Cricetulus griseus: one gene and its partners. The protein of the gene in region 2 interacts with the protein of the main gene of each other region in a pairwise test. Links are inferred from orthologs where the notes say so. Each region holds a gene or a part of one and is shown on either strand. Other genes may lie near its edges.

Evidence for each region.
Region 1: the proteins of Rgs2 (region 2) and Lrfn1 interact in a two-hybrid assay, tested with the Homo sapiens proteins (2 studies listed by BioGRID and IntAct). The link is inferred for Cricetulus griseus from reciprocal best matches to the Homo sapiens genes RGS2 and LRFN1.
Region 3: the proteins of Rgs2 (region 2) and Nipsnap1 interact in a two-hybrid assay, tested with the Homo sapiens proteins (2 studies listed by BioGRID and IntAct). The link is inferred for Cricetulus griseus from reciprocal best matches to the Homo sapiens genes RGS2 and NIPSNAP1.
Region 4: the proteins of Rgs2 (region 2) and Git1 interact in a two-hybrid assay, tested with the Homo sapiens proteins (2 studies listed by BioGRID and IntAct). The link is inferred for Cricetulus griseus from reciprocal best matches to the Homo sapiens genes RGS2 and GIT1.
Region 5: the proteins of Rgs2 (region 2) and Ctsb interact in a two-hybrid assay, tested with the Homo sapiens proteins (2 studies listed by BioGRID and IntAct). The link is inferred for Cricetulus griseus from reciprocal best matches to the Homo sapiens genes RGS2 and CTSB.
Region 6: the proteins of Rgs2 (region 2) and Wdr74 interact in a two-hybrid assay, tested with the Homo sapiens proteins (2 studies listed by BioGRID and IntAct). The link is inferred for Cricetulus griseus from reciprocal best matches to the Homo sapiens genes RGS2 and WDR74.
Region 7: the proteins of Rgs2 (region 2) and Ddr1 interact in a two-hybrid assay, tested with the Homo sapiens proteins (2 studies listed by BioGRID and IntAct). The link is inferred for Cricetulus griseus from reciprocal best matches to the Homo sapiens genes RGS2 and DDR1.

What each region holds. Positions count from the first base shown.
Region 1 is NC_048602.1:7,422,623-7,426,658, reverse strand, and holds the start of Lrfn1 (leucine-rich repeat and fibronectin type III domain-containing protein 1), read left to right. Parts: upstream 1-1,236; coding exon 1,237-2,642; intron 2,643-4,036. UniProt on the Homo sapiens protein: Promotes neurite outgrowth in hippocampal neurons. Involved in the regulation and maintenance of excitatory synapses. Induces the clustering of excitatory postsynaptic proteins, including DLG4, DLGAP1, GRIA1 and GRIN1.
Region 2 is NC_048598.1:46,447,474-46,451,512, forward strand, and holds the start of Rgs2 (regulator of G-protein signaling 2), read left to right. Parts: upstream 1-1,239; 5' UTR 1,240-1,288; coding exon 1,289-1,398; intron 1,399-2,411; coding exon 2,412-2,513; intron 2,514-2,621; coding exon 2,622-2,683; intron 2,684-3,258; coding exon 3,259-3,425; intron 3,426-3,682; coding exon 3,683-3,877; 3' UTR 3,878-4,039. UniProt on the Homo sapiens protein: Regulates G protein-coupled receptor signaling cascades. Inhibits signal transduction by increasing the GTPase activity of G protein alpha subunits, thereby driving them into their inactive GDP-bound form.
Region 3 is NW_023276807.1:100,030,907-100,035,088, reverse strand, and holds the start of Nipsnap1 (protein NipSnap homolog 1), read left to right. Parts: upstream 1-1,382; 5' UTR 1,383-1,425; coding exon 1,426-1,523; intron 1,524-4,182.
Region 4 is NC_048600.1:90,901,566-90,905,065, forward strand, and holds part of Git1 (ARF GTPase-activating protein GIT1), read left to right. Parts: intron 1-933; coding exon 934-1,067; intron 1,068-1,472; coding exon 1,473-1,585; intron 1,586-1,693; coding exon 1,694-1,799; intron 1,800-2,301; coding exon 2,302-2,519; intron 2,520-2,600; coding exon 2,601-2,695; intron 2,696-3,035; coding exon 3,036-3,078; intron 3,079-3,500. UniProt on the Homo sapiens protein: GTPase-activating protein for ADP ribosylation factor family members, including ARF1.
Region 5 is NW_023276807.1:218,157,996-218,162,140, forward strand, and holds the start of Ctsb (cathepsin B), read left to right. Parts: upstream 1-1,345; 5' UTR 1,346-1,476; intron 1,477-4,145. UniProt on the Homo sapiens protein: Thiol protease which is believed to participate in intracellular degradation and turnover of proteins. Cleaves matrix extracellular phosphoglycoprotein MEPE. Involved in the solubilization of cross-linked TG/thyroglobulin in the thyroid follicle lumen.
Region 6 is NC_048596.1:51,361,998-51,366,214, reverse strand, and holds the start of Wdr74 (WD repeat-containing protein 74), read left to right. Parts: upstream 1-1,417; 5' UTR 1,418-1,491; coding exon 1,492-1,555; intron 1,556-1,627; coding exon 1,628-1,734; intron 1,735-1,812; coding exon 1,813-1,934; intron 1,935-3,362; coding exon 3,363-3,438; intron 3,439-3,556; coding exon 3,557-3,703; intron 3,704-3,859; coding exon 3,860-3,961; intron 3,962-4,217. UniProt on the Homo sapiens protein: Regulatory protein of the MTREX-exosome complex involved in the synthesis of the 60S ribosomal subunit. Participates in an early cleavage of the pre-rRNA processing pathway in cooperation with NVL.
Region 7 is NW_023276806.1:229,602,478-229,606,540, reverse strand, and holds the start of Ddr1 (epithelial discoidin domain-containing receptor 1), read left to right. Parts: upstream 1-1,263; 5' UTR 1,264-1,412; exon of another isoform or gene 1,413-1,510; intron 1,511-2,838; exon of another isoform or gene 2,839-3,006; intron 3,007-4,063. UniProt on the Homo sapiens protein: Tyrosine kinase that functions as a cell surface receptor for fibrillar collagen and regulates cell attachment to the extracellular matrix, remodeling of the extracellular matrix, cell migration, differentiation, survival and cell proliferation.

The DNA of each region.
Region 1 (4,036 bases), on a different chromosome or scaffold from region 2:
GAGGAATGAAAGAACCAGTCCCACCAAGTTGTCCTCTGACCCTGCCTCTCATACACAATATTAATAATATTTAAAATGAAAGCACTCGCTGGGCGGTGGTGGTGCACGCCTTTGATCCCAACACTCGAGAGGCAGAGGCCGAGGCTCTCTGTGAGTTCGAGACCAACCTGATCTACAAGAGCTAATTCCAGAACAGGATCCAAAGCCACAGAGAAACCCTGTCTCGGAAAACAACAATAACAAAAAATGAAAGCACTCACTCTTACCATAATGCACATAGTTCTGTACTTAGAATGTATTAGGCACCACTGGGGTTGCAGCTAATAATTTTTATTATGTGTTAAACTTCGAATATTGTATGTGGCAGATGCTGTTCTAAAAGCTGTGCTCATGAGTGTACATAGTCTTCACCAAAAGCATGTTTCTTCTCTCCATTTTACAGATGAAGAAACCGAGATTCAGAGAGGTTCAGACTCGTGCCCAAGGTCACACAGCTAGTAAGTGTCATAGCTGGAATTCAAACTAAGAGTGTGTGTTTGACATCCTTGGTCCTAAATTCCAGCCAACAGTGATTCCAGAATATCTGGTGGGCTGGGAGGTCATGGGCAATTGGGGAGCTCCTAGAAGCTTGACAGGTGGGAGGGTAGAAGACTTCAGAATAACAGCAGGGGTGATTTGCCAATTACTATGGGAATTTTGTAATCAGATCTGGGTATTTTGGCCCAGATCTGTAATCCTAGCATTTAAAAGGCAGACACAGGAGGATACTGAATTCAAAGCCAACCAGGGATACAGTGATACTTTGTCTCAGAAGAAGAAAGGCCAGGTGGTGTCCCAGGCCTTTAATCCTAGCTCTCCCGAGGCAGAGGCAGGCTGATCTGTGTGAGTTTGATGCTAACCTGGTTTACAGAGTGAGTTCAGGTCAGCCCAGGCTATATAGTGAGACCTTGTCTCAAAAAAAAAAAAGAAGAAAGAAAGAAAGAGAAAGAAAGAAAGAAAGAAAGAAAGAAAGAAAGAAAGAAAGAAAGAAAGAAAGGAAAGAAGGAAAAGATGGCCGTTGGTGCCAGCTGTTTTGAAGTCTGTTGTCCAGAGCTCGTTCACTGGGAGTTAAAGGATCCAAATTGACTTTCAGCAGCACATCCCTGGGTTGCAGGGGTGGGGACCAAGCCATAATAGTTGACTATTTTCCTCCCCTCCAGGTCTCAACTCCTGCTTCTCCTGCCTCCCCGCTGCACCATGGCTCCAGGCCCCTTCTCCTCTGGGCTCTTCTCGCCACCACCTGCTGCTCTCCCTTTTTTGCTGCTGCTCTGGGCAGGGGCATCTCGCGGCCAACCCTGCCCTGGTCGCTGCATCTGCCAGAACGTGGCACCTACGCTGACCATGCTGTGTGCCAAGACCGGCCTGCTCTTCGTGCCGCCCGCCATCGACAGGCGTGTGGTCGAGCTGCGGCTCACCGACAACTTCATTGCCGCTGTGCGTCGTCGAGACTTCGCCAACATGACCAGCCTGGTCCACCTCACCCTGTCTCGCAACACTATTGGTCAGGTGGCACCCGGCGCCTTTGCTGACCTCCGTGCTCTCCGGGCCCTGCACCTCGATAGCAACCGCCTGGCAGAGGTGCGTGGGGACCAGCTCCGGGGCTTGGGTAACCTCCGCCACTTGATCCTCGGCAACAATCAGATCCGGAAGGTGGAGTCGGCAGCTTTTGACGCCTTTCTGTCCACTGTGGAGGACCTGGATCTGTCCTACAACAACCTGGAGGCACTGCCGTGGGAGGCGGTGGGTCAGATGGTCAATCTGAACACCCTCACGCTCGACCACAACCTCATTGATCACATTGCCGAGGGCACCTTCGTGCAGCTGCATAAACTTGTACGCTTAGACATGACCTCTAACCGTCTGCATAAACTGCCCCCCGACGGGCTCTTCCTGAGGTCCCAGGGTGGGGGGCCCAAGCCGCCCACCCCCCTGACCGTCAGCTTTGGTGGCAATCCGCTGCACTGCAACTGCGAGCTGCTCTGGCTACGGCGTCTGACCAGGGAGGATGACTTGGAGACATGCGCCACTCCTGAGCATCTCACTGACCGCTACTTCTGGTCCATCCCGGAGGAGGAATTTCTATGTGAGCCCCCGCTCATCACGCGGCAGGCAGGGGGCAAGGCCCTGGTAGTGGAGGGCCAGGCTGTCAGTCTGCGCTGCCGGGCGGTGGGTGACCCTGAGCCCGTGGTGCACTGGGTGGCACCTGATGGGCGGCTGCTGGGGAACTCCAGCCGGACCCGGGTCCGTGGGGACGGAACGCTGGATGTGACCATCACCACCCTAAGGGACAGCGGTACCTTCACCTGCATAGCCTCCAATGCTGCGGGGGAAGCCACTGCACCGGTGGAGGTTTGCGTGGTACCTCTGCCACTCATGGCGCCCCCGCCGGCTGCTCCGCCGCCTCTCACTGAGCCTGGTTCTTCCGACATCGCCACACCAGGCAGACCTGGTGCCAACGACTCAGCCACTGAACGCCGGCTTGTGGCTGCCGAACTCACGTCCAGCTCTGTGCTCATTCGCTGGCCGGCCCAGAGGCCAGTGCCTGGCATCCGCATGTACCAAGTGCAATACAACAGCTCTGCGGATGACTCTCTAGTCTACAGGTGAGTGCGCTACTGAAGCCCCAGGAACTCCTCTCCAGCCCTAGCATCCTGCCCTCTGTCCCATCTGCTCGTCCATCCCCTTGACCTTGCTTAGATGCGGCTTTGGATAGGCCTGTGGATACCTCCTTCTTTTCTGCTCTGCTGTGTTTTTCTTGAGCTTAGAAGTTTGTGCAACACAACATGAGCCAGTGAAGGGCTGGGCAATGGAGTTATAAAACTGAGTAGGGCCTGGTGCTTCAGGCTTGAGATCCTAGCCTTTGGGAAGCCGAGGCAGGAGGATTGCAAGGACAAGGCTGGCCTGGACAGTTTGGAGACACTCTGTCTCAAAATTTAGAAAGTGGAAAAAAGAGGGCTGGAGGTGGATCCCAGTTATAGTAAGATAGAGCCCCTGCCTATAACCCTCCAGTGAGGAGCTGGGGGCATGGCTCAGTGGTAGTGCCCCTGCCTAGAATTCCCCAGTGAGGAGCTGGAGGTGTGGCTCAGTGGTAGAGCCCCTGCCTAGAATCCCCCAGTGAGGGGCTGGGGGTGTGGCTCAGTGGTGGAGCCCCTGCCTAGGATCCCCCAGTGAGGGGCTGGGGGCGTGGCTCAGTGGTAGAGCCCCTGCCTAGAATCCCCCAGTGAGGGGCTGGGGGGCGTGGCTCTGTGGTAGAGTCCCTGCCTAGAATCCCCCAGTGAGGGGCTGGGGGGCGTGGCTCTGTGGTAGAGTACTTGCTAAGCTGAGGGAGGCACTGAGTTCCATTCCCAGTCCCAAACAACAAATACCCCACAGGGTTCATGGTTAAACGCATCACTTGCACTCCAGAGGCCTCTGTTCATGAATCCCATCAATTAAACATTGTGGCACATAAAACACATGTGTTTATAGTTACATTTCTATTTATGTCAATACTACTATTCCAATTGGATAGATTATAGAAACAAAGCAAAAAAGCATGGGAAAAATAGAAATGTAATGTTCTAGTTTGATTTCTATCACTGTGATAAACACTGTGACCAAGCCATGCCACGCCTTTAATCCCAGCACTTAGGAGGCAGAGGCAGGTAGATGCCTGAGTTTGAGGCCAGCCTGGTCTATGGAGGGAGTTTCAGACCCAGCCAGAGTTACACAGAGAAACTTTGTCCCAAAGCAAGAACAGCAAAACAAAACAAAAAACACTATGACCACCAAAACCAAAACCAAACAAAAAGCCCCACTCTGACCAAAAGCAATTTGGGGAGGAAAGGGTTTATTTTATACCTCTAAGGTCACAGACCATCAATGAAGGAAGTCAGATAAGGAATTCAAGGCAGGAACCAGGATGAAGGGACTGAAACAGAGGCCATGGAATAGTGTTGCTTCCTGGCTTCCTCTCCATGGTGTGTTTTGTCTGCTTTCTTACATAACTCAGGACCAC
Region 2 (4,039 bases):
ATTCAAACCTGGAGCTCAGCTACCCGCAGCTTGTAGCAATGTATTGCCTCGTTCCAGTTTGAGGAATGTGCCTCTATTTTTCTTTTAGTAAGGTCTAGTGTGAAGCAGAATGACCATAACTTCGTTGTTAATCTATCTGCCCTGACTTCATGGGAAAACCACTTAGGTATTCCGCCGCATCACTCCCGTAACATAGGAAGCTGAATCAGTTTGTAGTTGAAGTCATGTATTTGTTCTTACAGATCAGGGCATTTTAAAACCTGCGGGAGTAGAGATGGGTTTCTGAAGAACTGACAAATGAAGCTTGTCCAAGCAAACTTTACACCTCCCGACTCTCACATCCAGCTCTAGCCTCACACCCCCACCCCTTAATTTAAGCAGGTGAATATCTGGCAAATTCTAAGCCTGCCCAACTAAGAATGACTCATTAGGAAATCCTGATTCCTTACACTCGGAAACTACAAACGATCCGAGTGTATCAGAACCGCAAGATCTCGGGTTTCCCTTTGTGTTTCTCTCTATCACTCAGATCTGTGCCGTGCCCGCCTAGAGACGCCCTTCAGATCTCCTGGGGAATGACCCTGCAACGTCACAGCCTTCTGCAGCCAGGCGTTTAAAGATCAAAAATGCAGAATCATTTAAAACACCGGGTTTTAATAGGCACTTTCTCCTTCTTCCTCCCTGACCAGCGTGCGTTCCCATAAGGAATTCCAAGATGCCTGAGCGAACAGAGAATCACAGTACTTAGCTCAGAAGCCCTTGTTTCGGGTTTCTCTAGTTGTTTAAGTCCTTCCCCGAAATAGGTGGAGTGTGGGTGGGGCGGTAGGGCTCTCCCCCTGCCCGCTGCAGTGTATAGGTGTCCCGGTGCATCTAAAAGATCGTGAACAAAGCATGAGTTGCAAAGGCGGGGCTCGAAAAAAGATAAAAGGAAAGGAAAAGGTACGGCCTTAAGGAAAAGTCACGAACTCGGGAACCCTGCACGGCTGGGGCCACCCGAACAAGCGAGCAGGGATCCCGCGCTGTCCCCGCCCTCCGCCTCCCCGCCTGTGTGCGCACGAGGCTGCGGCACCTACGTCAGCAGCGCCCTGGCTTCCAGACCCTTCGGCTGCCGCCGTGACTGCCGCAGGCCCGTGCGACCCCTCCCTCGCGCCGTCTGCAGCGGGCCAATCCGCACCCTCGAAAGGCGGAGCCGACGCCTCCGGGCCCCGCCCCTGTTCCGCAGCCGGCCTTAAAAGACCGCGGCGCGCGCCCGGCTGCAAACAGCTGCGGTGGCCGCCGGAGTCTTAGTATGCAAAGTGCCATGTTCCTGGCTGTCCAGCACGACTGCGTACCCATGGACAAGAGCGCAGGCAACGGCCCCAAGGTCGAGGAGAAGCGGGAGAAAATGAAGCGGACGCTGTGAGTATGCCCTCTCTTCCTGAGAGCTCTTACCCCGCATGGCTTTGCTGCTCGGGACCGACCTTCCTTCCATCTCGGCTTTGACTTGAGCTAACTCCGGTCTGCACCTCTGCAGAGAAAGCGGGGGGGCGGGGGGAAGAAAGAAGGAAAAGTCAGCTTGCTAGATCTCGTGGTTGTGCTTTTTTCTGTGTGAGCGTAGAGTTTCAACTATGGGAAGTTGTTAGGAAGGTGGCGGCGGTAGCTGGGCTGAGAAGGCGATGGCTGGCTTTTTGTTCTGCATGTAAGGTGACATGAGTATTCTGCAGCTGAATAGGATCCGCAGCGCCCATACATTGCATTGTGAGGTCTGAGCTGCTTACACAGCTGCTGGGTAATGTTTGGGATGATTCCGAATGTATTCGCTTTAGATACGGTTTTAAATCATAAAATAGGTCTCATCCAGTCACGACTGTGGAATGAGTAATTTGCTCTGCAGTATCTGCTGCGGAGAAGCACTGTGGGAGGTCGCGGAGGGGGAGCTCGGGACACACACACACACACACACACACACACACACACACACACACACACTCACACACCACACACCACACACACACACACACCCCACACACACACACCACACACACACACCCCTCTATGCACCGCCTGTATCTTGGACCAGACCCTCCTGCCTCTAGCACAGAAAGGGAAGGAACATCAGCTGGCTCAACACACGGCAGTTCTCAATCATTAATTGTCTCCAAGTTGTAGTTAACCATGCAGAAAAACCGCTACCTTTTTCGTAGGTCAGAAATAACTTGTGAAAATTTTAAATATCCTAGCTGTGTTATGTAGTCCTATGCTGGGTTCAATCCATGAGGTGCTGGGTTTAAATATCCCACATATGGCATGGACTGTTCTTGCCTGTCTGGTTTGTTTGGTGACTGACCATATGCTACTGCAACTGGTGATAATTTCACTATTCAAGAATTGCAGCTTGAAGTATTTTTTTCCTCTCCTTTTTTCTTTTCTAGCTTGAAGGATTGGAAGACCCGTTTGAGCTACTTCTTGCAAAATTCCTCCACTCCTGGGAAACCCAAAACTGGCAAGAAAAGCAAACAGCAAACTTTTATCAAGTAAGTTGCAACTCCTGTACTTGCAGAACAGAATGTCTAGCCATTGAACAGGAGAGGGGAACTATTATGTGTGGTTTATATAGCTCATGTTCGGAACTTCTCTTGCAGGCCTTCTCCTGAGGAAGCGCTGCTCTGGGCAGAAGCATTCGATGAACTGCTGGCCAGTAAATGTAAGTTAACCTCTTGAATTTGATCTTTCACCAGCATCCCAAGAGCCTAGAAATGTTGTGTCTACACCACAAATGAGCAGCTAGCAGGAAGTGCATCAGACATTAGCACCATTTACTTCATAAAGCCTGCTTTTCTTTCCCCTCGTCCTCCAGTTTAATCATGGAAAAGCATGAGGTATTCACTTCAGGAATAAAGTTAGCCTAACTTGTGAAAGTTAGGAAGAAAAATTAGCCTAAAAATTAAAACGACTTACTCATAGTTAGGGTTGAGTCAGCTTTTCCATTGCATAGAATATTTTCAAAAGCCCTAGTTCCCAGAGAACTAATGGATGACTGTCCTCTAAATATTTATTTTGCATTGACGGTGAAGTTCAGTATATTTTGTTGTCGTCGTTGCAGAATGCAAAGTTAAGCATTTTGCCTGCTGGCATCTTAGTGCTTAAAGAGCTAAAGTGTGAGAATGACAGGTTTGAGTGAAATCTAGAAAGCTGATCGATCATTCTAGTACTAAAAGAACCATGTGTTATCTGGTCACTCAATTTACATTCTACATGCTTGTTTTCCTGTGCTTTCAGATGGGCTTGCTGCATTCAGGGCGTTTTTAAAATCTGAGTTCTGTGAAGAAAATATTGAATTCTGGTTGGCTTGTGAAGACTTCAAAAAAACCAAGTCACCCCAAAAACTGTCCTCCAAAGCAAGAAAAATATATACTGACTTCATAGAAAAGGAAGCTCCCAAAGAGGTAAGAAAACAAGTTATTGGTGTCAGCATAATTTGGACATCTTCAACCCCATAGTGAAGCACAAGAATTGGATACACCAGTTAAAGTGCCAGTGGGAAGAGCTGGGGCTCCCCACCCCAGCTATCCTAGCATTTCAGTTTTTCCAATCTGACAGTGAGAACTGATCACATATTACATCTTTTGTGTTTTGTTATTAAGCATTGATTTATAATGTTGGATACCAAATAAATCAAGCTTTGTTTTATTTTTGGTTTCAGATAAACATAGACTTTCAAACAAAAACGCTGATTGCCCAAAATATCCAAGAGGCTACAAGTGGCTGTTTTACAACAGCCCAGAAGAGGGTATACAGCTTGATGGAGAACAATTCTTACCCTCGCTTCTTGGAGTCAGAATTCTACCAGGACTTGTGTAAAAAGCCACAGATCACCACGGAGCCCCATGCTACATGAGGCCAGGAGCCCCCAACAGAGGACATTTCATTGTCTCCCAAGACGAAAAGGCTGTGACCTGCCAAAAGACTGACCTTGAATTCAGCCTGGGTGTTAGGAAACATCACTCAGAACTATTGATTCAAAGTTGGGTAGTGGATCAGAAAGCCAGCAACCTAGGAC
Region 3 (4,182 bases), on a different chromosome or scaffold from region 2:
CAGGCATGTGCTGCCAACCACTGTAGGCAGACTTTTCTTTCCTACTTGCCAGTTCCCAAATAACTAACATAGAAACTCAATATTAACTATAAATGCTCAGCCGATAGCTCAGGCTTATTACTAACTAACTCTTACAATTTAAATTAACCCATTTTTATCAATTTACATTCTGCCATGTGGCATTACCTCTCTTTCATCTTGTACCTCCTGTTTTCTCTGTGTCTCACTGGCGACACCTCTGACTCTGCCCTTCTTCTTCCCAATGTCCTTACTCTGGTTTTCCTGCCTAACCTTATCCTGTCTAGCTATTGGCCAGTCTAGCTTCTTTATTAAACCAATCACAGTTTAATTTACATAGAGCACAGAAGGATTATTCCATAGAAAACTGCCTGGCTAAATAATTTTTTTTTGCATTTAAAAAAAAATTCAAGGAGGGTGGTGCATGCCTTTAATCCAGCACTTTGGTGACAGAGGCAGGTGGATCTCAGTGACTTTGAGGCCAGCCTGGTATACAAAGTAAGTTCCAGGACAGCCAGGACTGTTACTCAGAGAAACCCTGCCTTGAAAAACCATTAAAACCAAACCAAACCAACCAACCAACCAACCAAACAAACAAACAAACAAAACAAAACAAAACAAAAAACAAAACCAAGGGCTAGAGAGATGGCTCAGCGGTTAAAGAGCACTGGCTGCTCTTCCAGAGGTCCTGAGTTCAACTCCCAGCAACTAACCATATGATGGCTGACAACCATTTATAATGAGATCTGGTGCCCTCTTTTGGCCTGCAGGCATACATGCAGGCAGAACACTGTAGAGTTAATAAACAAATCTTTAAAAAAAGAAACTAAACGAAACAAAACAATACAAAACAAAAAATCCAAGGGGAAAAAGAATCACAGTTTGTCTTAGTTACTTTTCTAACTATATTCCTGCAATGAGACCCACGATTAAGGCAACTTTTAGAAGAGTTCCAGAAGGTTGGAGTCCATGACCATCATGGTGGAGCAGCAGTTAAGGCAGAGCATTTGCCTAGCCACGAGTGAAATCCTGGGTTCCACCCCCTAGTGCCCTAGTAGGAAGGGAACTGACAGGCACACATAATTTGTATACAATTTTGGGGGTATGCAGACCCTCTTTAGTTTGTCCTCCGAATGTTCAGGACTTATTGTTCGACGCCCGCATTTACCTAGGTGAATTCTGAGGTACAGAGTGGGGAAAGGGCTGTTCAAGGGAACGGAGCCAGTTAACTGCAGAGGTCCGGGAGCGCAGAGATGTGGACACAGATTTTTCGTCTAAGGATTTGGAGGACTCCCATCTGGCTGTGCTTGAAAGGAAGGCTGGCGGGGCGAAGGCGTGGTTTTCTCTAGCTCCGCCACCTTGCACTGGGCTGGGGCGTGGCCTTCCTCCGACCTGCTCCGGTCCAACATGGCTCCGCGGTTGTGCATCATCTCTGCATCGGCACGGCGGCTGCTGGGGAAGCCGGGACCCCGCGCTGGGGACCTCGCTGCTGCGGCTGCTGTGCGGTGAGAGGCCGACGGGGCCGACCGCGTGTCCGGAACAGGGGCGGGGAGGGGGCTGGGATGAAGAGCAGGCTCTTGGGTTTGGAATTCAGGGGTTAGTGGAGGAGCTGCCAGGATGTAGGCCTGAGGAGTCTGAGAAAGGATGAGGGAGGTGAAAAGATCTGGGTAGGATTTTGTTTTTTAAACAGGCTCACACTGTAAGTGATTCAAACTCGGAATTCCCTTTCTTCGACCTCCTAGATATTACTGGCGTGCATACCCATGCCTTGCTGGGCAGGTTCTTTGTCCTATTTGGGACCTGGGTCTGGGCTGAGAATAAAAAATGAGGTGAGTGGGAGGGACAGGTTTTAAGCACTGGAGCGGGGGAGAAGGCAGAGGACAGAGGTAGCTGCCCTCAGGTCTGGCCTTTGTGATTTAGCGCGCACTGGGGGCTTTCAAGGCCAGGCAGCTCCTCCCTCAGGAAGTTCTAGGAGGAAGGAGAGAAAGACTGGGGTACAGAGGGAATTCCCAAGGTGATTCCTCACCCTGCACTGTATTGTGGGGTCAACAGAAGGGGTGAGAGTTGTTCAAGGTCAGCCTCCAAGCCATGTGGAGGCTGCTCTGGATGTAGGACCCAGGTCTCATGATGCACCTTGCACTTTGCACCACCGCTGGTGGCCTCCTAGGAGAGAGGCTCAGCTCTGGCTGTGGAGGGCTTGGCTTCCCCTGACTGGCTCTGGGCTGCTCCTCCCTCCTGCAGTGCCTTGTGCTACCCCTGTCTCTGCACTGGTCACCCTGAGCACTTCTGACCCTGTGCTAACCTGTCCTTCCCTAGTCGTTCTCCTGTTTGCACAGCCCCACACCCTCACTGGTTTGAGAACATTGTAAGTTCAAAGAGCATTTGCTAAAGAAGTGAGACCACCTGTTCTCACACCTGTGGAAAGGAATCTGTACTCCTCCTGCCTCTGCCCAGGAGTGAAGCCTTAGGGTCCGTTTAGATCACTGTGAACTGGGACTTTTGGAAAGCTGAGATATCGGAGTTGGACATATGCCCTTCACCTCCATGCTTGATAAAGAGGGAGAAGCTGACACTGGGAAATGAGCCTGGAGTGTACCTTTTAAACAGCCTTTTGTGGAGGGATGGCCTTGGGTAGGAGGAAAGAGGATGTGTCAGATAGGATTGTTCTGTGTTGCTAGGAAAAGAATCCAGGAGCTCAGGTATGCTAGGCTAGTGCTCTTCCTACCAATTAAACCATAATACCTCCAGACCTCATTGGATTGTTGAGGATTGAAGAAGCCATGCTTGTGTTACCAATTGCCCAAGACTATGCCTCAAGCAGTTTCTGTCATTGTGAGAGTCGAAAGGGTATCCAGGAAAATAATATTTTATTACATTAAAAAATTAGTTTGAGCCGGGCAGTGGTGGTGCATGCCTTTAATTCCAGCACTGGGGCAGCAGAGGCAGGTGGATCTCTGAGTTGGAGGCCAGCCCGGTTTATGGACAGTTAGGACTACATAGAGAGACCACGTCGCTCAAAAATAAACAAAAAATTATTTGGGAGGTTAGAGAGATGACTCTACAATGGTTGCTCTTTCTGAGCACTTGGGTCACAGCTCACACACATGACCACTTACAGTTGTCTGCAACTCTACTTCCAGGGGACCTGATGCCCTCTTCTGGCCTTCACAGGTGCCAGGTGTGCAAGTGGTGCTTGCGCACACACACACACACACACACACACACACACACAGGCAAAACACCCACACATAACATAATTTTAAAATTATTTTGTGTGCATATGCAAATGAACACTGGTATTCGAGTGCGTGTGTGTGTGTGTGTGTGTGTGTGTGTGTGTGTGTGTGTGTGTGTGTGTCCATGTGCCCATACTATGACACGTATGGAGATCACTGTGTGGCTTCCAGGCATCTAACTCAGGTTGTCAGTCTTGGTAGCAGGTGCCTTTACATCTCACTAAATCAAGATCATCTATGTTTTTTCTTTAAGGAGATTTACTTTTATTTATGTTTGTGTAGAAGGGAGAGAGAATGAAAATGTGCACATATATGCAGGTGCCCACTGAGGCCAGAGAAAGGAGTTAAATCCTTTGGCAGTTGTGAGCTGCTCTACTGATATGGTCTTGGAAACCAAACTTGGGCCCTCTACAAGAACAGCAAGTTCTCTTTTTTATTATTATTTTTCATATATTTGAGTTACAAACAAGATTGAATTACATGACAATCCCAGTTCCCTTCTCCCTCCCTTCCTCTTCTACAACCCCCCCAACTAAAATCCTTCCTATAATATGTCCTTTCTTCTAATCTTCACCTGACTCCACCTTTCTGCTTCCTCATGACCTCTGCATCCTTCCTCTTCTTCCCTTCTCATTCTCGTAGCTCCCTCCCCCCTCTTCCCATGTTCAGTGCGTTCTCTGGACACACCAAGTGTGTCCAGCCTACAGATCATCTCCCCCTCCTTCCCATTGCTTTGGAGGCTGTCCTGGAACTCTGTAGACTGCCTCTGCCTCCAGAGTGCTGGGATTAAAGGCGTGGGCCACCACTGCCTGGCACAAGATCATCTTTTAGGAGACCATGTTTTCCAGATGAATGAAGATACTAAGGCTGAGAAAGGAACAGTCAGTGGGTGGTAGGATCTTTTATGTGGCAAACACCCAGAGGTCAC
Region 4 (3,500 bases), on a different chromosome or scaffold from region 2:
TGGGTGGGGGCCTGGGCAGAGCAGAGTGTCCTGGGAGAGCAGCTCCCTGCCCCCACTCTGGACAGCACACAATGGCCGCTTTCTCCCCCATGACCTTTCCTTTCTGTGGCCTGAGCTGTGTGTGCTTTCTCCTCCCCTTCTCCAGAGGGGCTTGGGGTGGTAGCATCTCTACTACCCTTGAGGACCAGGAGCTCCTACCCACTTGTCCTCACTGGAGAATGGCTTCCCAGGCTGGTCCTGAGACTGCAGGGGCAGAGGGCAGCAAGTTTAGGCTTGGCCTGGTCTGGCATTGAAGTACCTGCCTCCAGCATCCCAGCAGCTGTGCTTATTAGCTGTGTGACCTTGAGCAAGCCCTTTGACCTCTCTGAGCCACTGAATCCTCATCAGTAGAGCAAGATAGCACTTGTGAAAGGAATTGTGAGCAAAATACTTGGCCAGTAAATAGTGAAACCTCAGCCAAGGTTAGTTCCATTGCTCAGTCTGTCCTTAAGGCTGCAGCCCACAGTTGATGGTGGCATGAAGCTGGAAACTCCAACTGTGTCAGAGTAGGGGTAGGAACCAGTCTGTCGGATGGGGTCCAACAGGAACATACCCAGGACTGTGTGATACACGGCGTCAGGGTCATATCCCATAGGAGACTTCTGCCTCCCTGTGGAATGGCTAGGCAGCAGTCTTGATTCCTGAGGAGAGGCTGTGAAACTGGTAGCAGTGGCTGTGAGACAGGACACTGTACCCACTGAGAATCCTTGGGGACCATGCATACCCAGGAAGGTGCAAGGACTTACAGGAAAGGGCTCGTAGCCAGCTTCTGGGCTCCTGAGCAGATTGAGTGAATGTACCTGAAGCACTAAGCATATGCCAGGCCAGAGCAGCTGCTTAGGAAGTAGTGCCTGTCCTGTGGCTTCAGCTGACTTTCCTACTCTGCTCCCCCAGATCCTGGCTGGGCATCTATCAGCAGAGGTGTGCTGGTCTGTGACGAGTGCTGCAGTGTGCATCGGAGCCTGGGACGACACATCTCCATTGTCAAGCACCTTCGCCACAGCGCCTGGCCTCCTACACTGCTACAGGTAGGGGATTAAACCAGAGACTCCTTCCCAGTGTGCAGTGCCCAGGTATCCCCAACCCTCTTCCTGTCAGACAGTAGCCACTTAAAGTAGTATGACCCTCAACCTTTCCACTCACCCCTTCCCCTGTAGTGTCTATTCATTAGCTTGGATGCTTATCTTAGACAGTGCATTGAGCAAGTTGCTGAAACTCTCTGAACCTTGGCAAACCCACCAGGGTAAGCCAGCATGAAGTGCTAAACACAGGACACATGACTTTGGGTGGCCTGACTGGATAGAGGGCAGCCATAGCAGGCACACAGTAGGACCTTTGGTGGTATCTCCAGCTGCAGCAGGCACTCTGGGAATGTCTCCCCTAGTGCCCAGCACAGAGTGGGCACTCTTTTGCTTGGCATCTCTTCCCCACAGATGGTGCACACGCTTGCCAGCAACGGGGCCAACTCCATCTGGGAGCACTCCCTGCTGGACCCTGCACAAGTGCAAAGTGGCCGGCGTAAAGCCAACCCCCAAGACAAAGTCCAGTGAGTGGGGCTGCAGGGGTGGTGGGCAGGGCCGTGTTTCTGGGACAGGGGCCTGAATGGTGGTTGTCCTAAGCTCCGCTCCCATGGCCTCCTGTGTGTTCCATGCAGCCCCATCAAATCAGAGTTCATCAGGGCCAAGTACCAAATGCTGGCGTTTGTGCACAAGCTTCCCTGCCGCGATGATGATGGCGTCACTGCCAAAGACCTCAGCAAGGTGTGAGGAGCCCCTCAACAGATGGGTGGGCCACCCCTCTTTCCATATTCAAGTCCCAGAGGCAACCCAGGGCTGGGGAAAAAAGTAGGTGCAGACACCCTGGGGCTAGGGAAGTTTGCTCTGTCATGCAGCTGGTGGCTAAGATACCTCCACTCTCACGTGGACAGACATAGGGCCTCCCGTCTACGACTTGAAGCTAGGAAAACTTGGGGTACTCGCTTAGCTGTTCGGAGCCTTTATTTCCTCATCAGTGAAATGGGATAGTAGTAACACACCTGCCTCTAGTTTCTGTGTGTTCCAAGCAGAGCACATGAAGGGTAGTGACTGGGAGTAACTGTTAATGACATTACCCTCTAGCCTGCCTGACATGGCCCAGTTTTGTCGAGGCCCCTTGGAGCTGGTAGGAGTACCAGGAACAGCCAGGTGTGTGGGGGAGGTTCCTCGGACACTCACAAGTATCCATCACACTCACTCCCACTTAACCACACACTGCTCCTTGCAGCAACTGCACTCCAGTGTGCGAACAGGCAACTTGGAGACATGTCTTCGCCTGCTTTCCCTGGGTGCCCAGGCCAACTTCTTTCACCCAGAAAAGGGCACTACACCTCTACATGTGGCTGCCAAGGCGGGGCAGACACTGCAGGCTGAACTGCTGGTGGTGTATGGGGCTGACCCCGGCTCCCCTGATGTCAATGGCCGCACGCCAATCGACTATGCCAGGTGAGAATCAGTTAAAGGGTGAGGCTTAGGTGGAGAGGAATGGACTGTTGCTGTAGGGCTGAGCCATGTCCCTCCCCACAGGCAGGCGGGGCACCATGAACTGGCAGAAAGGCTAGTTGAGTGCCAGTATGAGCTCACTGACCGGTTGGCCTTCTACCTCTGTGGACGCAAGCCCGGTGAGCAGAGAATGAGTTGGGCCTGACTAGGCCAGGCAGGTGGGACCTAGGCACACCCAGGAGCAGGTGCCATAGTGACAAAGCCAGCTGGGGAACTGTGTTGCTAGGCAACTGGCTCCTGTGAAATTGCTGCAGGCTCTGGGTTGCTGCAAGCATGTTGGGGCCAAGGAGTGGGGGTGGGCCTGACTTGCAGCCAGTTTTCAATGCTCTTGGGGTATCCTGCCCTCCTCCATTTCCTCTGACACTTCCAGGTGTCAAACCCTGCTCATGGTAGTGAGGTAAGCTCCTGGGTGCTGGCGCCACCTGGCATCAGTGACTTGGCATTTTTATTTTTGTTCAGATCACAAGAATGGGCATTACATCATCCCACAGATGGCTGACAGGTGAGTGCCCACCTGATGCCCCTTTCAGCTATTAGATGTCAAGGTGGCTTGACCCAGAGCCCTACATCTTCCCAGGCTTCAGTGGCTTGGCACCCCACCCTATACACATAGTGACTAGCAACACAGAAATTCATAGCCTAGTTGCCACCTACTGTATACCCCCAAGGCAGGTGAGAAATGTCGGTTCAACACACACCAGTGCACCTGAGCCTTGTGGTTACTAAGTATTGGAGGGCGGGGGTTGGTACAAGGAAAGAAGGCCTGACTAGGTTGGACCACTGCGTTTGGACTTCTGTGTCACTTTGGATAAAGGATTCCCTCTGCAGGGAGAAGATAGCTCCGGGGAACTGGCTGACTTTGGGACTACTAGCCAGGCCCCCAGTGTGCTCCCAACTGGATGGGAATCCCAGGCAGGGTAGTAA
Region 5 (4,145 bases), on a different chromosome or scaffold from region 2:
CCTGGGCAGCAGAAGGGTCCTAGTGGGATTGCATTGAGCTTCACTGCCTGGGGGTTAATGGGGCTTTAGTGGACGGAGGAAGGGCAGAAGATGGGCTGGTCAGCCCAGTTTTCATTCCAGGTGTTGAGGTCATTGAATTTTGCCCTCAATATGGTTTCCAGGAAAGAGGTATGCCTTTGGGGGAAAAAAAAAAGGTGGAGAGCCTCTTCTTGGCGTCTCCAGCCTCTGGCCACAGTAAAACCAGAGACACTTTTGGCTTGGACATTTCAAGCATCCCTAGCCTCTGGCAAGGATAAGGATCTGGACATGCCCCAGGACATTTTTGGCTTTTAGCCAAGAAAGACTTTTTTATTTGGGCTTTTTACCAAAACTAAACTGCCTAGCCAGCTTTCACCTGTTATCAGCAGTTGGGACAGCTTTCTTTCCTACCTTTCCCACAAGTTTCCTGAGTTCCTCGGCCATCCCACTCACCTGGAGTTCAGTAACCATACTTCCACTCCTGTCTTTAACTTGGAGACTACCAGCAGAGCCTTGACGCGTGGCTTTCTTATAGTCACAGCCTGGGTATAAAATACCATGATGTTGTGCTCGATTCGGCAGCACATATACTAAAATTGGAATGGTACAGAGATTTGAATGGCCCCTGCACAAGGATGACATGCAAATTCATGAAGCATTCCATATTTTAAAAAAGAATGATGTCATGGGGCATTCCTATTACTTGGTAGACATAAGGATTGGAGAGATCTGAGGGTGGCTGAAGGAGACCCTGGGGTGGGGCGATGCTATTCCTTGTCAGAACAAATAGGACTATTTTTTGTTGGCTAGCCTACCAATGGGGAAGGTTCCTACATGGGACTGATGGCCTGGCAGGAGTTTGGAATTTCATAACATGCCTTGGACAAGAGTTCAAGGTTTGTTTTTGTTTTGTTTTGTTTTTTTTACCAGGACCTTGGGCTTGGTAGGAAAGAGCTCTACCCTGGGCTACAGCCCCAGTCCAGTTCTAGTTTTAATTACCTTCCTTGGTCTGAGTATTCCTAAGGCTAAGCACTAAACCAGGGTGCTGCGAGCTTCATGAGGCCAGGAGTGCTCCATTGGGACGCCAGCCATTTCCAGGTCCCGGATTCCGCATGGCCTTTCCGATGAATGCAGTAGGCGATGTCACTTCTTCCCGGTGCAAGGTTCTCGCGGGTTCCCTGGAGAGCATCTCCGGTCCGGTGAAGAGATAACACAGACTATCGGCTTCTTCCGGAATCCAGCTGCGCGATATGGACCTAGGATAAGCAGTTTAGGGAGTCCCAGGACGAAGGGGTGGGGCCGGCGACGTCGCGGGGTGGGGGCGCGGCCGATGGGTCACGTGGCGAATCAGCCCAGTAGCGGGCGGAGCTGCAAGGGTACTTAGTGGTGCGCTCCAGAGGCCAGGAGCGGCTCGGTTCGGCTCGGCGGCTGCAGGCCCAGGCTGTAGCGCTGCGCTCGGTAAGTGTGCCCGGGGCGCTTTGGTTCCGCGACGGAAGTCACCTTGGCTGGGGACGGGGAACGGGCAGTGGCGAAAGGCCCCTCGCTCGCCCAAGGCGCAGGCGCGGTTATTCCTCGGCCCTGGATGCTACGCGCCGAGAATGGTCGCGGTCCGCGGGGAGAGGATTCCTGAGTCCGGCCGCTGCAGGCGAACAGCCCCGGCGGCCTGCACGCACTTAGGGCCGGGCCTGGGGACCTCGCGCGGGTCGGCGTCCCTCCGGTGGCCTTGGCGCACTCCAAAGGCGGAGCTGGGGACTTCGGGGAGCTCTGAGGGAGGAGCCTGCAGGGAAGGGTTCGGCCCTGGCTCTCCTTCCAGCTTGCAAGCTCCGGGTCTTAGTGGTGCTCAGAGCGAGTATCGACCTGCATCTAGTGAAGGTTTGTGTCTTAGTCTAAAGAATCTGCCCCGGCAACTTACCACACATAAGCCCACGCAGTCCCTGGCACCCTAAAAGACCGGTCCTATTGAAAACAGAAACAGAAAACAGTGGGTGGCTGGGATGGAACCTGCACGAAGAGTTAAACCGAGAAACAGGAAGAGAAGCGAGTGCAGTAGAGGATAGGGGTGCTCGGGGCTGCACTCCCTTTCTCTGCATGGGGGTGGCCAAGACGATGGGAATGTGGAGGGGGGGAGGAACATGCAGGACAAGCTCCTTCAGTGAGGGTCTTGCTGGCCCGGAAGCGATGTGGGGTCGGTCTGCACCGGCAGGACTTGCGGACCAGGAGACGGGTGATTTGGTCTTGGTCCTCTAGGGGTCTGGAGTAAAGGACTAAGCCCACCCTCACGTTACTTCCGTCTGACCAGATTCCCTCACCCGTTTGCAAGGGAAATAGATTGTGCGGTTCAAAAGGAAGCTTAACACTTGGTGTCCGAGTGCCGAGGGTTAGGGTTATCAGGCCAGATTCAGAAGGGTAGCATGTGGAGAACGTTGCTGAAGGTGCTCTCATCCTCCCTCGAAGCCGTTCGGGGGGAGAATTGCTTCTCATAGGTTCTGGCCATGGTGACCTAAAACTCCAGAGTTCCCAGAGACACACCAGAGCCAGCACTTGGAAGGCTGAAGCAGGAGGATCCCTGTGCATTGGAAACTAGCCTGGGCTACATAATAAATTCCAGGGCAGTCTGACTATAGAGTGAGACTGTTTGCCCTCCCAACTTTTTCTCCCAAAAAAGGACATGCTGGGAAAAAGGCAGCATGGAGGAAAATGACCTCTGCTCCTTTAAAAGCACGTGAGCCAGGCCTGTAGGGATCAACTGCTAGGGGCTAGGGGTGGAAGGTGGGCTAGTGTTTGTGCTTCACCAGCCCAGGTGGCTTCAGAGGCTTCCAGCTCAAGTTAACACTATTTCAGATTAGTCAGGCAGAGGAGGTAGGAGCTCTTGGCTCCAGGCTGGAACTGCCCGGTGAAGTGCTGATTCAGCAGTCCAGGTTGAGACTCTCTGTGGTATGGGTGGAAACCTTTAGATGTCAGAGCCTCAGGTTGGCCGACTGACTTTTTGATGGTCTGTTGTAAGGAAAATATTAGGTATGTGTGAGGTTGAACTATATGCAATGGAACTTTTGAAAGTCAGAAAGGAAACCAGAGACTTGCATGTGAATGATATGATTGATGAGAGATGGTGGGCTAGCAAAGGTGAGGTGTACAAAAGTCTGTGTTGTCTTTGCTTGGCTAGTAGTTTATATCCCCAGTCCATCATCTCAGTGCTCTCTAGGAGCTGCCTAAGAAAGGGTGGAGTCCTTTTCATTGCTGTAGTTTATATTCCACCCTACTTTGAGCATGGTGGAAGTTTGGCTTGGTTGTATGCTGGAACTGTCTGGTTTATCTGTGGTGCTGAAATCCAACCCTGGGCCTTGTGCGTGCTAATCATACACTCTGCCCCTAGACTATACTGTACCCAGCCAGCTTTAGCCAGTCTCTTCCCTCCTCCATCCCTCTGAGCTTTCAAAACAGGTCGCTTGAAATGGGCAGTCCTGCCTCCGCCCTCCCACATGCTAGGGTTACAGACATGAGCTATCACTCCTGGGTTAGTACTTTTTTTTTTTTTTTTTTTTTTTTTTTTTAAATAGGTCTCATCACTCACTGTGTAGTCCTGGCGAGCTTGGAACTGGGTATGTAGACCAGGATGGCTCAAGCATGAAGGAATGCACAAACTCACAGATAAACCTGCCTGTGCCTCACCAGTGCTGGGATTAAAGGTGTAGGCCACCATTCCCAGAAATCCCTTCATTTTTAGCTTCAAGTCTGAACTCTCCTTTCTGCAGACCTGACCAGGCTCAGGTTTGGGATAGAGGTGTGTGGCTCCACTCTGACAGGACATGTTTCACTGTGATCAGTTTGGCTCCTAGACTTGCTTTGTCTTTCACAAGGACTTTAGCAACTAACTGTTCTTTCCTTATTCTTTCCTACGTGTGCTTGAAATACAATGTATCGATCTGTAAGTGTTGTTTTATGTAACTTAATTATACTATGTGTCTTGTTCACCCAGTTGATGAGATTTGCTGATGTTGATGCCTGCAGATTTAATGTTTAATTTGTTGGAGAGGAGTGGCAGTGTGACAAGAGGTCTCGTGTAGCCTAGCTTAAACTCACCAGGTAGGTGAGGATTAGTTTGAACTCTTGATACTCCTGCCTACCTC
Region 6 (4,217 bases), on a different chromosome or scaffold from region 2:
TTAGCCTCAAAACTGGCTTTGACACAATGACAAGACTTTATGTCTAACCCAGGTTAAGGGTTAGAACTAGGTTTCCAATTTAGTTATATTAACATAGTTTCTGAGGAAATAGGGACTAAAGATCTTTCTTAGCCAGGATTTGATAGCACTTGCATACAGGCAGGCTTCGAGTTGTTGGGAAAAAATCGCTTCAATTTGGGTTTCAGAGTGTGGCAGGGACTTGTCTATTTTGAGAGTACTTTACTTGTAAAGAATGCTGAACCATGAGAACACAGGGGAGGGAGAGGCAGTGAAGTAGGACCTCGAGACCCAGCATAGTTTACAGAATGAGCCCTTTGTTATATCAAACTAATAACAAAGTTGGGGATCCAGGCAGAAGGAAGCAGAGGGAGGGAATGAATGATAAAGGCAATCTTCCAGGAGGCTCTGACTGAACACAGATGCCACACTTCAATGTTTCCAATGCTTAAATCTCCTGTACTGTTAATCCATTTTTTTTTTCCAAGGCAGGGTTTCTCTGTGTAGCCCTGGTGTCCTAGAACTATCTCTGTAGACCAGCCTGGCCTAGACCTCAGAGATCCACCTGCCTCTGCCTCCAGAGTGCAGGGATTAAAGGCGTGTGCCACCACCAACTGGCACAGTTAATTTTTGTGTTTGGAATTTCCCCTCAAACAGGGTGGGGGCTGCCAGACTTGGCCAATGAGAGCAGACTCCACCCAGCCAGCATTGCAGTTTAGAAAGGGTGGCTTTTCTCAGAGAGCACAAAATGATCCTTCCTTCTCAGTTCTCCATAAACACTCCTGGACTGTTCCTTTGTTTCCATAAAACTAAAACAAGGTGGGGCTGGCAGAGTTTAGTGGTTCCTACATTTCAGCTTCCAGAAATGGCGCTGTCCAAGCTGAGCATGTTTGAAACTAGCCTGTAATTCTCAGCCACTGTGAGGCTGAGTCAAGACTATAAAATCAAGGCCCACCTAGATTACAAAGTGGGTTCATGGGTTAAAAAAAATAAGCGGACCTGAGCTGTATCTAAAGAGATTGTGAAATCTTAGGGTTAATAACACCAGTGCTCCTCCGCATTTTAATTTTTTTGTTGTTGTTTGTTTTTGAGACAGGGTCTCACTGTGTAACCCTAGCTGGCCTGGAACCCACAGAGATACACCTGCCTTTTGCCTCCGGAGTGCTGAGAGGAAAGATGAAAGGCCTTATTAAGGAGTGGGAGGAATGGGGGTATAGGAAGATAGGAAGGCGTGAAACGAGAGAGCGGGAGAGACAGACAGACTGACTCAGAGAGACAGACACACACCACACAGACAGACAGACTCAGAGAGACAGACACACACCAGACAGACAGACAGACAGACAGACAGACAGACAGACAGACAGACAGACAGACAGACAGACCTGCTCCGTGCTGTCAAAATTGAATACGGCGCCCCCTGATGATGCAGTTGGTGGCGCGCCGGAAGTACGAGCCATAGGCTAGTCTGCGATGGCGGCCGCCTCTTCGCGAGGGAACCATGTGTGGGTCGGCACCGATACTGGGATCCTAAAAGGTGAGTGAGTTGTTCTCCGAAAGTGTAGGGACTGCGTGTCACCCCAGCGTGACTGACGTCCTCCTCCATTAGGGGTGAACCTTCAGCGGAGACATGCAACAAACTTCACGCCATCCGGACAGCCGCGGCGGGAGGAGGCGGTGAATGCTCTGTGCTGGCGCGCGGGTGACGAGACCCAGGTGAGTGGCCCCCGGCCCGAGCTAGGAAACGGGCCCTGCAGCCTTGCTCTTCTCCTATCCTTTCCTTCTCGCTGGCAGATCTTGGTGGGCTGCGCGGACATGACCGTGAGGCACTTTAACACCGAGGAGGGTACATTCCAGAGCCAGAGACACTGCCCAGGCGGGGAGGGCACGTTCCGAGGTCTCGCCCAGGCCGATGGGTAAGGACTATTCTAGCTCAGGTCACAGGAAGATCGTTGAGGCTCCCTTGGGCGAACTGAATACTGAAGTTAAGCCCTTAGATGATTAGCCTCTGGGAAGACTGATTGCAAACAGTGTTCTTGCTTTCCTTCATTCCTATAACATGCATTTATCTGGAAGTTTCTGAATGCCAGGTATCAAGGAAGAGTACAAGGATTTGGGTAAAATATGGGTCTTCATAGAGTTTGCTTCCAAGAGTTTTGTTGTTTTTTTGGGGGGAGGTGTGGGTCGGTTTTCGAGACACGGTTTCTCTGTGGCTTTGGAGGCTGTCCTGGAACTAGCTCTTGTAGACCAGGCTGGTCTCGAACTCACAGAGATCCACCTGCCTCTGCCTCCCGAGTGCTGGGATTAAAGGCATGTACCACCACCGCTCGGCGCTGGCTCCTTTATAACGTTCTGTGCAAGTAATTCCACACTTTTGAGCATGCTTTTAAGTAGTGGTTGACAAAAGTGTAGCTTCTAAAGTAATGGCTCAGAAGGAAGATTCACCTAGATTAGTAACCTAGGAGCAGCTTCTCTAGATGGAAGACGAGAGAAGGCTGCTTTGGTAATTCAACAAGTGAACCCAGAAAGGATATGCAGCAGATGGAGTTGTTTTTTTTTTTTTTTCCCCAGGACAGGGTTTCTCTGTGTAGCTTTTGGAGCCTATCCTGGCACTCGCTCTGTAGACCAGGCTGGCCTTGAACTCACAGAGATCCGCCGGCCTCTGCCTCCCAAGTGCTGGGATTAAAGGTGTGCGCCACCAATGCCCGGCTGAGGATGGAGTTTTGAACTGGGTCTTGAAGTACAGGAATAATCTTGATAGAGAAGAGATAAAGATATTCTAAAAAGCAGATACTAACTGAGCAGAGACTAAGGGTTAAAAGACTAAAAAGGCTTTGTACATAGGACAAATAGCGTTTGGAAGTTGAAGTCAAGGAAACATACATGTAAGTTTGATTTGCATTTGGTTAGGATTAAATGGAAAGGGCTTTTGTACCAAGTTGAGATTTTATTTCATAGTTAATGGAGAGTATATTGGGTTTTGAAAGGGAAGTGCCATGGACTGAGCGAACTCTGAGCCTGTAGGAGTAAGGAGTATTAAAAATGCTTTTTGGCACAGCACAGGCAATATAGAGCTTAAATCTAGATAGGCAGATGTGAGGGAGAACATAGGTTCAGGCTATCCAGAGCCTGGGAAAAGGTTTAGGTTTCTTGGCAAGAGGTTTATGTCATTTTGGTTTGGGTTTGTTTTTTCTGTTTGTTTGTTTCAAGGTAGCCTTGAACTCAATATGTAGCTCAGTCTGACTTTGAATTCCTGGTCCCCACTTTACTTCCATGCCCTTTACTGGTAGGTATGGACCACTAAACCTGGTTTACACATTTTAAAATCCCTCCTGTGATTGCAGAACCCTTATCACATGTGTGGATTCTGGGATTCTTAGAGTCTGGTGTGACAATGACAAGGAAGCATCATCTGACCCAGTAAGGTTCACTGCCCTAGTGGTTGGAGATGGTGGGAGCCAGGGTAGGGGTCTAATGGGGAATTTGGTAGGTGGAAGGTTAAGGACTCTTGGACTGACTCATCTCTGATTATTTACAGCTCTTGGAACTGAAGGTGGGTCCTGGGGTGTGTAGGATGCGCCAAGACCCAGCACATAGCCATGTGGTTGCCACATGTGGGAAAGAGAATGCTTTGAAAGTATGGGACCTACAGAAGCCTGAGCAGCCTGTGTTCAGGGCAAAGAATGTAAGTGATAAGGGGTAGGGGGATGCTTTGTCTGAGGTTGGGAGAAGTGGAGGCCACTGACTGGTTGTGGCCTAGATGGGCTTTCGGGATGTGGAGGACTGAAGGAGCAGGTCAAGCTTACCAACATCTTGTATCCCATATGTACCTCCACACCAGGTGAGGAATGATTGGCTGGATCTACGGGTTCCTATTTGGGACCAGGATATACAGTTCCTCCCTGGGTCACAGAAGCTTGTCACATGCACAGGGTACCACCAGGTGAGGCTCTTTTGCTAACTTACTCCTGGATTGAAACAGCTTCCTAGGGAAAACTGTGTCACCTGGCAGAATGGGTTGGTTCTCTGGTGTTTCAACATCATCTCCCCTGGGCTCTCAAAGGAGCTCATACTTCCTCAGCTGGTCAGGACCATGGCTGTGCCAATGACATTCCCTTTACTGCATTCTAGGATAGAATTTCCTGGACTATGATTTTCTATTTCTCCTACCTAGAAGGTAAAACAAAGGGAGCATTCCT
Region 7 (4,063 bases), on a different chromosome or scaffold from region 2:
GGTAGGAGGGAGAAGGATGGAAGCCTTGTGCCAAAACAGGTTGGCCAGCTGGCAGGCAGGCGGGGCTTTGGTGGCCAGCAGCCTGGAGATGGGCTCAATTCTATCTCTGGGCCTTCCATCAATCTTGTGGTTGTCTTTCCTTTCTAAGTCTGCCCCCCATCTTCTTTCTTTCTTCCTCCCTCCTTTCCTCCTCCCTTTCAAACTCCATGTCTCGGTCTCTACCCTCCCCATATCTTAGTTTCATTCCAACCTCCCCACTCTCTGTTTCCTCCATTCCAGTTGCCGTCCCAAACGTTTGCTTTCCTTCTGTGTCCGCTCCCCGCTCCATTCAATCCTTTCTCCTCCCTGTGCCTCCACCTATCACTTTGGTGCCATCTGTCTGACTCCTCTCCCTGGAGTCAGTTGTGTCTCTCCGTGACCACCAGCCTCTCTCCCCTGGTTCTCCATCCCTTCTGGGTCCCTCTCCCAGACTATCCACGGCTAATGTGTCTAATTTTTCTGTCCTAGATTTATGTTTTGGATGTCCTAGAATTATCTTCCTTTTTTTGTCATCACACTACAGGCCTCAGTTTCCCATTTGAACTATGACCAGGGTCTTTTCCAGCTCCCTACCCGTCACCCCCCCCCACACACACACACACGCACCAGAGGCGTCCCACTCTCCCCAGCTGCTGACCCAACCTACTTCCCCAGAGGCAGCTGCATCTCAGGGCAAGGACTGTGGCTAGTGTGTGTCGAGGGCAGCGAGGGTGGGCCCATCTGGTCCACCCTCCTTTCACTCCTCCTGCCCTGCTTCCCTGCAGTGGCGGGTGGTCTGCAGGCCTGTTTCTCCTGCGTGCCTCTCTTCACATCCCCCCCCCCGCCCCAGCTGTTTCCCCTCTTCCTGGGCTTGCAGGGGGAAAAAACGGTCCAGTTCTATACCCTCCAGGGTTCTAGGGTATAATGGGGGCTTCTGGAGTTGTGAGTGGTGAGAGAAAGGAGCAGGGGGCTCGGGGAGCCACAGACCGGCACACTCTCGGTTCTTGGCTCAGCTCTGTAGGCCCCTGAATGGCTGGGATTTCCCTCTCTGGCCCCTGGGAATCTGGGCTCCAAGCAGCACATTCCAGCCGGCTCCAGCTCCTTTTCTGTTGTCACTTGACTCCGCTGGGCCCCAGCCCCGTGTCCCTCCTACTTCTCCAGCCCTGGTCTGGGGCGAGGTGGGCATCACCGACTAGGAATTTTCCCTGGGAGAGTGAAAAGGGGGCAGAGGCTTCAAGACTCTGGCTTCCTCCACATCTCCCATGGACCCTTCACTAGTCAGTGCGAGTCTAGGGCGTGCAATGTCCCAACGGGGTGTGAGGAGTTGAAGCTCCGCCTGTCCGGGGCTTCCCCGGAGCATCTCTCCTGGGAGGAGGGGCTGTGTGCCGTTGCAGGTGAGGTTACTGGGAAGCCTTGGCCCCACCTCCAGGCGGACTCCACACCCCGCCCAGTCTCTGCAGGGCCCAGATTTCCTATTGCTGTCTGCAGAGGGGTAGGTAATTGCGGGCGGGTGGGGGGGGGGGTCCCTAAGGGCTCGGTGGACAGGCTGGAGGCAATTCTTCCAGTGACCATGGGGGCTATTAGCAGGTCCTTCAGCAGCTGGAGCGTCCCTGGGTTTGTAAACTGGAGACCCAGCCTGCCTTGGCTTCTCCCTAGTGGCCGCTTATCTTCCTGGTAGCTTTTTCTGTTCTTGTCTGTTTTTTCTTTACACTCTTTGGAAATGCTTTTGGGTGTGAGTTTTGAGTCAGTTGGGAGGTGCAACAGGGTGGTGAGACCGGCGAGGTTGCTGGAGACTTTACTGTGACCTGACATTGTCCGGGGACTTGGCAGGTGTGGGGGTGTGGAGAGAGGTAGGGCTGACAGGTGGTGCTGAATGGGGACAGAACACCTCCCACACAAGCTCGGCGGTCGCCCCGCCCCCCCCCCGCCTCCACCATCTCTCCCTTCCGTGGCTTAGCAGCTCTGTTCGTTGTTTTCTTACGTCCCTGGGTCTTGCGTTCCCGTCTTTTTGGGCGGCTTGTGATTTCCAGGGCGCCTCTCTATCTTTCTCCTCCACCCCCACCGCGTCCTGGCTCCATTTTGCGTCTCTCCTTGCCAGAAACCAGATTCTGCGGCTCCCACCAGGGACTGAGCTGGCTGGGAACTGAAGAAGGCTTGCCTGAGGAGGACTCCAGAGCGAGTCTGGATGGAGCAGGGAGCCCAGGGGGACCCAGAGCTGGGAGTGTGGACCTCAGGGCTCCTGAGAGAAGAGAAGGGAGCTGCAGTTGGGGAGGGGTTCTAGAGGAAGGGGACAGAAAAAAGTAGAGAATAAAAGAGTGTGGCCCGTCCTCAGGCTCGGGAGTAATCTAGGTTGGGAGCCGGGGAGCGGGCCTGTGCCAAAATGTAGCAAAGTGGGGAGGAGTGAGAGCCAAGCGGGGCTGGCTAGACAGGTGAGCCCGGTTCCCACAGGCCTAGCTCTCGCTCCCGAGCTGGGCCTGTGGGAACCCGCTGCTTCCTGCGTGCCCTGGGGCTGCTCCTCCGTGCTTCTCTCCCTCTCTCCAGGACCCGAGCCCAGAAAAGGGGGAGGAGGGAACGCGCCATCTCCTCGCGGGGCCACCGCTTGGGGGTCCTGGGAGGGCTGCAACCGGTCCCCTACTGTACCGTAGCCTCGGGGCGGCGGGGGATGGGCGTGCGGATCACCTAGGGGAGGCTGGGGTAACATGCGGGGCGGGCTCCGCGCGCTAGGAGAGAAACGAGGGGCGGCGCGGGCGTGGGGCGCGGGCGCCGGGCGGGAGGACGGGCGGGGACAGGCGCGGGGAGGCGGCGCCTGGGGCGATCCGGCCCCGCGCTGGCTCCTCTCCCCGGAACAGGCCTCCGACAGCTGCTCGCGGGAGCCGCCTCCCGACACCCGAGCCCCGCCGGCGCCTGCGCTCCCCTCCCGCGTCCCGCCGCCGAGGAGGCCCCAAGCCGGGGCCGGACGCTTGAGTCGGCCCCGGAGAGCGATGAGAGGTAGGGACGAGGTGGGGAAGCACAGGAGGCAGGGGGCGCGGGTTGGGGAGACTCAGCTCTGTGCGCCGCCTTGGGGTTTTGATTCCCCATCTGAAACAGAAAGGGCCCTGACTTTCCGAAAAAGTATCTTCTCGTAGGGAAGGATCTGTCTTTTCCTGGGTGAGGGGAGAGCCGAGCCCCCAGAGGACAGGTGCGCTTATGTAGCCCACTGAGTCATCCTATCGGTGCTCCCTGGGCCGTGCCTACGAGCATGCTCTGTTAAGCTGCCCCGCCACAGGGAGCCAGCCTGACGCCCAACCTACCAGACCAGCCACGCTCGGTGGTTGCCGGGTTGTGCCAAGAGACAAGTCACCGCCCAATGAGCAACGCTCCTAGGGTCCCCTTCTGGCCTGGAATTCCTGCCCAGCACCTTCTCCCAGCCACGCCCGGCTGGCCTGGAACTGACTGGCTGAGAAGGATGGAGGTGTGTCCAGACCCCAGTGGCACCATAGGGACAGGTCACAGTAGAATGCGTGAGAAAGTGGAGAAATGGCCTTGCCCTTCTTGCTGCTCTCCCCACCCCAGTCCCACCTGTCCCCACCTGCTCTTGGCTTCCCTCTGGCTTAGTCACCCATGTGGGTTTGGGAGGGGCAGTTCTCTGGGGATCCTGCACCCCAGGGCCTGAGTGGGATTCACATTGCCTGCCATTTAGTATTAAACAGGTGTCTAGAGGTGGCAACTCACTAAATGCTGAGATCTAGCTTTATTTGTCACCTCAGGGTGTGTGACACACACCTGTAATCACACACCTGAAAGGTGGAGGCAGCAGGATCAAGGGTTAAAGGTCAGCCTCCCTTGGCATCATAGTGAGTTTGGAGACTTGAACTAGTTGAGACCTTGTCTCAAAAAATCGGCCATCCTGCTATAGAGGAACATGATTTTCATCCCAGCACTCAAGGAGAGGCAGGTGGCACCCCATGAGTTCAAGGCTGTTCTGGTCTATATAGCTAGTTCCAGGCCCACCCAGGCTACATAGTGAGACCAACAAAAATCCCTCCAACTAACCAACCCCTCCTCC